Regions from separate parts of the Mus musculus genome. Here region 2 is reported to be linked to region 1. The links are microRNA targets in miRTarBase. Many come from high-throughput screens and were not tested one by one. Region 1 holds a microRNA gene; the other region holds the end of a gene's coding sequence. Distances are between the middles of the regions.
Evidence for each region. The annotated mature microRNA mmu-miR-491-5p reads AGUGGGGAACCCUUCCAUGAGG and lies in region 1 at 3,137-3,158, opposite strand. An mRNA with a match to its seed (bases 2 to 7 or 8) in the 3' UTR can be bound and repressed. Matches are read on the target gene's strand: a 7mer-m8 pairs with bases 2 to 8, a 7mer-A1 pairs with bases 2 to 7 and ends in A, and an 8mer does both.

Region 2: the mRNA of Tbc1d2 is a reported target of mmu-miR-491-5p. Seed matches in the 3' UTR shown: 7mer-A1 at 1,023-1,029.

What each region holds. Positions count from the first base shown.
Region 1 is chr4:88,120,215-88,125,214 of GRCm38, reverse strand. It overlaps Mir491 (microRNA 491), which reads right to left and starts at 3,175; the gene lies at 3,090-3,175. Focad (focadhesin) reads right to left here. Exons shown (of 44, transcript NM_001081184.1): 2 at 3,857-3,945; 3 at 553-627. The coding sequence starts at 3,913.
Region 2 is chr4:46,601,110-46,606,637 of GRCm38, reverse strand. It overlaps Tbc1d2 (TBC1 domain family, member 2), which reads left to right. Exons shown (of 13, transcript NM_198664.3): 12 at 134-255; 13 at 670-2,248. The coding sequence ends at 877. It overlaps Coro2a (coronin, actin binding protein 2A), which reads left to right and starts at 4,709. Exons shown (of 12, transcript NM_001164804.1): 1 at 4,709-4,821.

The DNA.
Region 1 (5,000 bases):
CTCCTCCTTACAGTTCAAGATCTGAACTGAACTACAAGTGAAACCAGGGGCGAGTGGCCCTGCAGGCAAGCACAAGCATCTACATAAAACAAGCAAGCAGATTATCTTAGACTGCTTCCTACTACTGTGACAAGGACCACAACCATAAAGAACCAGGTGAGAATAGGGTGTATTTCAGCTTAAGGTCCATCATCAAGAGAAAGGAGAGTATAAACTCAGGGCGTGAACTGAAGCAGACTCCATGAAGCAGCAGTGATTCCTGGTTTACTCTCCTAGCTCGCTCAGCCTACTTTCTGATACAACCCAGGACCACCTGCCCAGGGGTGGCTCCTCCCACAGTAAGCTCAGCTCTCCCACATCAGCTATTAAGCAAGAAAATGTCCCACAGGGTTGCCCACAGGCAAATCTAAAGGTGCATTTTCTCAGTTGAGGCTGCCTACTCTCAAGATGATCCTGGCTGGTATCTATTTAACAAAAAGCTAGCCAGGGGCAGGTGTACACACACACACAACAAACAACAACAAAACAACAACAACAAGGTTAAGCACAGACCTGGTTTGTGGATTGGTGTATCTTTTCTGAAACACCATGTTCTTTTAAGACAGCAGCAATAAGATGACCTACAGCCTAAAAGAAGAACAACAAAAAATTAATGAAGATATCCACTTAGAAGTTCTTTCCAAAGAGTGCACTGAAAGGGAATCAACATCATATTCATTTTCATGTATAAGCAAGCCAAGTTGTCAACTGGTAAGATGAAAGTCCCTTTGTTGTGTGCCATGTAGAAAGCACTGAACGAGGCACTCAACATGTGTAACCCAAATCCTCAGAGCAATCTTCAAAGTAGGTCAAATATCCCAGCACTACACAAGCCATACTCTACCGAGGCCAACATCAACCTTCAGCTCAAATTCCTCTCACCTACTTTTAAAGATAATTTGGAATTACATAATCCATTAAAACATGAGACAGTCTTTAAAACCTTTGTATCTAAATCCAATCTGTCATGTTTCATGGTGACCTTTGTGAAAATGAAGAAAAATTCACCCTCACTTTTATGGATACAGCCTGTACAGACCTGAAGAATATCTCTCCCTTCCTCTACACTCTTCTCCCTCCTCTAGACCCTACTATTTTCATTTTTTCTAAAGTTCATTTGCATGTGCGGAGGTGTGTGTGAGTGTGTTTATGTGTGTATGTGTGTGTGTGTGTATGTGTATGTGTGTGTGTGTGTATGTGTATGTGTGAGTGTGTGTGAGTGTGTGTGTGTATGTGTGTGTGTGTGTATGTGTATGTGTGAGTGTGTGTGAGTGTGTGTGTGTATGTGTGAATGTGTGTGTGTGAGTGTGTGTATGTGTGTGTGAGTATAGGTGTGAGTATGTGTATGTGAGTGTGTGTGTGTATGTGTGAGTGTGTGTGTGTGTATGTGTGAGTGTGTGTGTGTGTGTATGTGTGTGTGAGTGTGTATGTGTGAGTATGTGTGTGTACATGTGAGTGTGTGTGTGTATGTGTATGTGTGTGTGTATGTGTGAGTGTGTGTGTGTGTGTGTGTGTGTGTGTGTGCATGTACACAGGTATGTGCTACTACCCACATGAGGAGGAGAGAAGACGACTTGGAGAAGTCACTTCTCATTTTCCACCATATGGGTCCAGAGATTCAAACTCAGGTCATCCTCAGGCTTAATGCAAACTGTCTTTACCCACTGAGCCATTTCATAGCCCTATATTAATTTATTTATCCCTTCCTAATAGGTTTTGGGTCTTAAGTTTTCAGTCTCTCAAATCTCTTAAAAATTTCCCACATTCTGCTTTAGTCAAAGAGCCCAAAATGAAAATCAAGCTCTAAGAGAGTTGATTACACAAATACATAAATGTCACCTCCTCTGCCTCAGTGTCAGGCCCTGTTCTTCAGGCCTAACCAGCACTGCTGACTGACAGGAAATTGGCTGGCAACAATGGTAACTATTCTGTATGCAGCTAGGGAAATTTCCACTACTACAACTGTATATCCTGAACTTGGGACCACTTACAATAGTGCTGAAAACAGCTGTCAGTTTTGGGAAATCTCTAGAAGAGCTCAAAGAACTACACCGCACCCGCTCCCCTCCTGCACATGTGCATGTGTTCAAATGTTCAAATGATTTAAGACCTCTATACCTGAATTTTGAGAAATAAATCACTCACTTACATAAATGCAAACTGCAGTTCAATTTGCTGTCTCTTATCTCCTAGCCAAAGGATAAGAAAACTGAGGAGCCATGAGTTTGAACCCTAAGTTTGTATTTCACAAACTATACTGTATGTGTCATTGAATATCTGGCCATCAGCTCAAAGGATGCAACATAACTCATCAGCAAAAAATAAACATGGCTGCCAATCAATCTACGATACACAGTGCTGCCTGTAATTTGAATTTTTGATTTTAGATTGATCATAGAACTCTTCTAGAGTCACTTAGAAAATAATGGACAAGCTCACAAGTGTACACGCACTACCCACTGTAGCTCAGCTGCTGTCAGCAGCTGCTCGATCATCTAATCACCAAAATGCAAAAGGGCTGAGTGCCAGTCAAGGGGATATGGTCCTGTCTCAAAGCAGTGGTTTTGAAAGAACAGTTGGTATATGACTCATGAGGACAGGGCACACTCATGAGAACCTAAGAACCAAGATGAAATGCAACAGAGACATATAAAAAAAGCTACTGTCCTCATTTAGAAAAAGGACTAAAAGAAAATACACTGCATGTTTCACATCTCCCCACTCAGAAGATTCAATTTCTCTGATCTTCTGTTTCATTCATCTTTTAAAACATCAGAGATACTAGCCTAAGGAGCCTACATGGTTCTGAGACACCCACACAGCTGACACATTATGCTACCTTGCTACTTCATTCCATAGCCAGACTGAAATATACAATAACCAAGACATATACACATTTTTCTTAAATTAACTGTAACACATGTCACCATTTCCTTTTTATTATGTTAATGAAGGTTATGTAGGTACAGAAGAATGGAGACTGTGAACAGCATCTTCCTCATCTTCTTCTTCAGGGGAAGGGCCTGTGTTGCACAGAGCAGGATATGACTTCAACTCAGTCAGGTAGAAGGGAATCTTGCATAAGGAGTGTTCTACTCCTCATGGAAGGGTTCCCCACTTCCCAGCTAAGTCAATTCCCACAGCAGGCATCTCCGAGGGCAACTGCTGAAGCATCCACGAGGCTTTCGGGGTTAAGTCTTCAGACTGGCTTTCACTGGCTGTTTAGCTTTACTCATAGGAAGAGATGTTAAGCTCTTATGGTACCAAGGTTTATTAGAATGTGCCTACTTAGCTAGCAGATAGAAACCACCACTGCTTTAACACTTGTCTTAATTATTGAAAAGCTCTGTAAATTAAATTATCCCGATTTCCCATCTCAGCAGGTACATATTACATTAATCCAGAATGCTTTAATTATTGAATATCATTATTCTGAAATCTAGTACTCTTAATAGCTGTAGAGAGGTAGAATATATCATTTTAAACATTAATCTTTGATACTCTGTGGAGATATATAAGAAACCATCTATCACTGTTCCCAATTATTAAACATATGCAAAAAGAATAACCACATTCAAAAATCTACTAATCAAGATTATTTCTAAGGGAAAAATATATGAAAACAACAAGAAGCTGAAATTGAACAAGTTTAAATATTAGTTTCTCTAATTGAAATATACTTACTAGTCATATAATGTTGCTTACTACAATAAGCCATGAGTAGAAGAAAATATTTCATGTGAAAATACAAAGTTCAATTTATGGTCCATCAAAAGTGTGCTTTTGTTACCATGAAGGAAAAATAAATAAAAATTACCTGAGACTGGATAAGAGAATTCGGAAAATCAAACCTTTTCTTGATGTCATCTGACATCTTTGCTTCTCTCACAGGTTTATGCACAGTTTCTGTAATCAAAACAAGAGATGTATTAACCATCTAATTGCCTTGGAGTTCAAACCAATTATTCCTCAAAGAGTATAAAAGTAATTTTAAAAGCCAACAATGGAAATAAAGCAGGAACCCCTGCAGATACTTCTTAGCATAACCTTTTCTGTTAACCACTTCAATGCTCAGAAAATATCATAGATAAACAAACTAAAAATGTCCAACAACTCCGTGTTTTCCTACACGTTAATCCTGAGACAGATGAATTCATATAGCAGAACCATTAAAAAGCAAATTATTTTAATTCCAAAGCTCAACCACCTACTTAAAATAAAAGTTAATCCTTTCTTGAATTAAAACGTACAAGAGAGGGCTCAAAAAGGAAGGGCTCAGTGGTTAAGAGCATATGCTTCCAATGCAAAAAAACTGAGGTTCAACTGCCAGCACCCACAGGACAGCTCACAACATCTGGGCACCTGCATGGCATGCACAGGGTACACATACACTCGGGCATTCCTGCATACATATGAGATAAAATATAAATAAGTCTTTTTTAAAAAGTCTTTTTTAAGGGGGAGTCAAACTGTGGCAAGATTGTTTAAGCTTACACCTCCTTTTGATACCAGCTTTGATCTCAGCAAGAATCCAACTGCAGCTGAACTACAGGAAGTTCAGCTGTGCCCTCAAATCCTGCACATCCAAACAAACTACTTGTCTGTTAAAAGAACAAACGAGGAATCAGCACCAGTGGTTTTTGTTTACACCAAACTCTCAGTCCTACTGTTCTCAAAAAGAGGAGGGGGACAGAGAAGAGGACACAGAATAAAAGGCCCACTTTACCCAACTCCCATGCAGACTTATCTCTGAATTTGAGGCCAACCTGGTCTACATACAGATCAAGTTCCAGGCCAGCCAGAAACCCTGTCTCAAAGAAAAAAGAAAAAAGAGGAGGAGGAGGAAGACACAGCTCAGAAATGACTCAAACACACTCCTTGTTTCTTGTTTGTTGCCATATGACTCATGAGAGGTTTCAGAACTCTGCCAGCAAGAAGCCCATCAAAACTACACAGTTAAA
Region 2 (5,528 bases), 42 Mb from region 1:
GGCCCTAGGCTTCCACTCTGGCCTGCCAGAAACCTCCATATTCCCGGAGTCGCTGAGTCGTGTCCCCCCCCCCAGCACCCCCCAACAGTACCTGCCTGGGTCTGTACCCCACCTGAACCCCACTGTGCCCTAGGTGGTGTTCCGATATGCTCTGGCCATCTTCAAGTACAATGAGGAAGCGATCCTGCAACTCCAGGACAGCCTGGAGATCTACCAGTACCTGCGTTTCTTCACCAAGACCATCTGCGACAGCCGGTGAGCTGTCCGCCCCCTCTGTATCCTTGTATGGCAAGCAAGCTCCAAAGCCCACCTTCACCCTCCCATCAAGACCCAGGGTGTGGGACAACCAACCCACCACTGGCTCTGCCCCTAGGAGCCTCCTGGCTCCCTTCTCCCACTGCTCCTCCATTATCTTGAGCCTGGTCCCTATCCTCAAAGCTAAGCTCTCATGTGCCTCCTCCAGGAAGCCCTCCAGAGCTGCCCTTCCTTTACTGGATCAGGTACCTGCCTAGCTCCCTCCAGCCTCAGCTCTAGGTGGGAATAGTCTCCCCCACCCCCATCCCCGGAAGGTTAGCTCCAGAAGGCAGGACCACCATTCTAGGGTGGACGGATGTCAGGACCTGGCCGAAACTGGTAACCTTGCCCTGGCCGACTGTACCTTCCTTTCAGGAAGCTCATGAGCATAGCCTTCAATGACATGAACCCATTTCCCATGAAGCAACTGCGGCAGCTGCGGGCAGCCCACCGAGAGCGACTGGAGGCGGAGCTGCGCGAGCTAGAGCTGCTGAAAGTGGAGTACTTGCAGAGACGGGCATCCCTGGGCAGAGCACCGCCAGAGGGCTGCGTCAGCGAGGACGAAGGAGAAGGCGACAGCTGACCGAGCCCTCTGTCCCCAAAGCCTTTCTCACCTTTGCTGGCAGGAAGATAGAGTTCAGCCATGGGCGGGAGGTGTGTGTGACCCTGGACCAGGCCTTTGCCCTCTCCAGGCCTTAGTCTCCCAGGCTTGCCAGCCTGTGTCACTGCCCCACAGAGCACTTTCACACACAGGACAGGAGGCAGGGATACATGCTGGGTCACCTGACCAGTCTCTGAGAGGCACCACCATTTCCATTCCGTTTGGATTTCGTCTTCTGACCAGGTCTCGAGGAACTCAGGCTGACCTCAGACTCCATGCAGGATCCTCCTGTCAGAGCCATGATGACATAAAGCAACATCCTTGCAGTTGATGGCGCTCCACCTTTAGGACAGAAGCCGTCTCATTACCAGGGCTCCTCGGCACAAGTGTCAGGAATGTTCCCGCTGGCACCCTCTGGCTCCAGGCCTTGGTCACCATTATGTGGCACCCCAAGTTCAAGGCCTGCATTTTCAGGGCATCTGTCTTTCCAGACAGTAGCCCCCCTGAGTTGCCACCTGGATCTGTGTGTTGAGATCGCCCTGCTCATAGGGACTATCTCTACAGCCTCATGCCTAAAGCTTGCCTTCTGTTTACAGCCCACTGGGTCATCCCAGGGGAGCCCCTGCCTGCTACCCTGAGGAACCTGATGTGGACTGGACAGTGGACCTGGAGCAAGCATCCACTCTGGCCTGCATCTGGCCTGTGGGGCCAACAGGGTAGGCTTGGGAGGGGAGCAGGGCAGCAGCCCACTCGGCTCACCAGAGCCAGTTGGTAAGCAGCCTTACATGGAGGGGACATGGCTAGGTGATGACCGGCTCTCCCAAAAGCCACCACCAAAAAGCCAAAAACAGGTTGAACTGTGGGCACAGGCTGCTGGATAAACAGTGCCCTTTCTACTACTCCCCCACCAAGCCACAGCCCCCACCTCTCCTCTTCCTCAACTCTCCCTAGAGGAGAACTCTGCCAAGCACTTGCGCTTCTCCTTGGGGGACCAACGCAGCTTTCTTACCAAGCTGCACTGTGTTCCAGCAGTGCTGGGCCTTGTGTTCAGCTACTCTTGGAGCCAGGAGGCTTAACCCTGGGGGGTAAGTGTTCTGGGATTAATTGCCTCCTCCAGCCCTGAACGAGCAGGCCAAGCTCCAGTAACAGGACTCAGAGAACTTAGTGTAGTGTCACACAGAAGGGGAGGGCGGCTCTGGCCGTGACTGCCTGTGGGCATACCCACAGGGTCAACTCTAGGAAAAGAAAAGGGGGAGTCAGGTGTGGGGTACACACTTCAGATCCCAGCAGTTCCAACACTGGACTACACAGCCAAACAGTGTCTCAAAAACCAAATAAATAAGAGAAAAACGATGAGTGTCTGGGCTGCCTGAACTGGAACAGAAACAAACAAGGGGTGCGGGCGAGCCTGAGACTCTCTGGGCTGCTGCTGGGGCAGAGCCTGCCCCTCCCTCAGGGCCTGGGGCCTACCCCTAGTGTCAGGTTCCTTGCTCGCCCCACAGCTGCTGCCCCTTCCCCAGGGGCCACTGCTTCAGAGGCTGGAAGATCTGATGCCACAGCCCCACCTTCCTACCCAGAACAGAGATGGAACTCCATGATCGACCCCTCCCACCCCTGGACCAGCAGGCCTTCTCAGAGAACAAAGGGACAGGGGCCTAGAGACCCCAAAGACTGGATGTGAGAGGGATACGCCCCCAAACTACTTTGTTCAAGCTTATATCCCAAATAGACCCTTGCCCAGGGGCTATCTTCTCCCAGTACAACACACACACACACACACACACACACACACACACACACACGGCCACATTCTACAGGACAAGTAGAAAGTCAATCAGTGATGTCTCCCAACCCAACACGTCCCATAGTGTCTGACCCCATAGTGTCTGAGCAGGCCCTGGTAGGCTGTGTCCCCTTGTGTGTAACTTAGGGGTTGTCAGGGGCTGCCTTCCACACCTGAGGTAGGATTAGGAACCGGTAAGAGGACACAGGGAAAGCCCCTCCCCAGACACAGAAGAGGCATGCCAGGTTCCAGGTCTCCCCTCTGATTTACGGGTCCACGTGCCCACAGTCCCCCAGATAATCCTGTCAAACAAGCCTGTCCCAACAGACAACTGGCCTGGCACCATGAAAAAAGAGTTTCTTTTAAGATGATTTTGAAAGAGACCTTCCAAAGGAGATGATGCGAGCGGGAGCTTGGGAATGATGCTGAGAGAGAGAGGACCACCAGACCCTAGCCTCCGCCTTTACTGTGTTGGGGCATCCAGATGAGTCAGCCTGCTCCAGGGTAAAGCCAAGTCAGAAACACTGTGGTGGGCCTGGCATGGTGGCCCCAGCCTTTAGGAGGTAGACAGGAGAATGAGTTCATGGGTTCTTCTTAGTTCATAGACAGTCTAAGACCGACCTGGGCTATGTGGGACCCTCCTTAAAAAAATTAATAAATGGGCTGGTAAAATGCCTAAGAGGGTGATAGTGCTGTCTCAGGAGCCAGGCAGCCTGAGACCTGTCCCCAGGAACCATGTAAAAAGCTGAATGCAGCCCTCCTACTTGGAGATGGGAGGCATCTGATATATTGCCCGATAGCTCAGGGACAGTCAGCCAGGAATATGTAGCATTGCAGAAATAAGATGAAAGGAAAGAACTAACTTCTGAAAGTTTGCACACACACACACACACACACACACACACACACACACTCGTTAAAAAGTGACAAAAATGTTTTAGATTACCATGGACCCTTGAGGGCAAAGGTCCAACTGCTGCGGTTGTGCGCTGTGTGCTTCTGCCAGTGCAGCTCCAAGCGGGATGCAGGGGGAATTCAGACGTGGGAAACCCACAGCTCTAGGAAGAAAACCGGCCCAGGGCCCTGTGGTTCAGCAGGAACTAGAGGAAGGCTTTAGCGACTGCTGTTCTAAAGTGATCAAGGACTCACCAGAGCTGAGTGTGGTGGTGTAGTCCTACAATCCCAGCTCCTAGAGGCTGAGGGAGGAAGATGGCTAGTTCAAAGCCAACCTAAGCAATTTAGTGAACTCTTGTTTCAGAAAAAGAGGAGAGGTCTCACAGTGTAGCTCAAAGGTAGAATACTTGCCTGGCAAGCATATGCACGGTCCTAATGTTCAATCCCACCATCACAAATCATACACACACACACATTAAATTTGTTATAGAGCCTACCAAGAACTCAGCTAAAGTCTCAACTTCTTGTCTATGAAATGGGAGTATTATGACTACATTGAAGGCGTTGGTAGATCAAATGTAATAAATTGTGTTCTTAGTTAACAATATATACAATACCTACTTTGTGCCAGGTACAGTGCTAGTCTCCCTCCTCCCCCCCGCCCCCCACCAAACACATCACTACAAGACACGAAGAACACTTTCCAAGACAGGTGGTGTGGCGTGGTTATTATGAAAGATATGACGTCCTATCTTCCATATTCAGTGAGCACCCGGCTGAAAGAGGGAGCGGCTTGGACGCAGCGCCCCCTAATGGCAGCAGTGGGAAGGATCTCCCGGATGCGCAGCCGCCCTCCGCTCTCCAGTTCTCCCGCCGCCTGCAGAGCTGCGGTCCCGGCGCTCGCTGCGGGATCCAGCTTCGAGCCATCTGGGAGGCAGGCGCGATGACAGTCTCCATCTCAGCAAGGGGAAACTGAGGTTCGGGACCCGAGTCCCACCCAAAGCCTGCGGCGAGAGCGTGTCGGAGGCGAGAGTGTGTGCACGCGGGACGGGAACCGAGCTGCGGGCGACGGGCGGCGCACAGGCGGGGCCTCTCCGTCCCGCCCCGCCCCGACCCCGCCCGGCCCGGTCCCGCCCGCCGGGCTGCGCGGGGAGGCGGCGGCACTGGGCGCGGGGACTCGGCGGGCGGCGCGAAGCGCGGAGCGGGAGCCGGAGCCGCCGCCGCCGCCACCTGCGCGGCAGCCAACAAGGTAGGGTGGGACCGGGCCGGGCGGGACGCTCGCTGCGCCCGGGCTGCGGCTCTGTGGCGGGAGGGATGCTGTCCCCGGCGTCGCGGAGACCTATCCTCCAGACCCCCGCACGATCTCACACAAAGCTCTGCCCCGCTCCAGTCCTCAGTTTCCCCATCGGGATACTGGTGCGGCCGCTCCCTCAGTGGGTGACTAGGAGCAGCGACCCCCAGGTTCGCGCTCCAGAGGTTAGGGGCCAGTCCTTACCGCCCGCGCCTCTTGCGGCGGTGAGCGGCCCGCCCTGGGCGCGGCAGCCAGTCTCGACAGGCCCCGGTGTGGCCCAGGTGCCCCGTGGACCCGAGTCGTGATTGTTCCTGTCCTGGCTGGGTTACCCGCGGGGGCCTCAGCTTCCAGTCCCGGGAAACGGTGGAGGAGGAAGCATCCCTGAGTCCCTGCCGAGGCGACCTGGGCGCGCGGGTGGGGCGAGCAGTCTGCTACCCAGACCAGGCTCATCGCCTGGAGCTGGAGGAGGAGCCCCGCGCTGGCAATGGCCAGATCTCAGCCTCAGACCTGCCTGGACCCGAGCCGAGCAAACACCCACCTGCATTCGGGCAATGGAGAAGGACGTCCTGGTCCGCGCCCTGGCCAGCTGCCGGAGCCCAGTTCTGCGTACCAGCCTGGTGGGACAGGGTTGGTACTACCACACTCGGTCCTCAGTCCACTTGCCA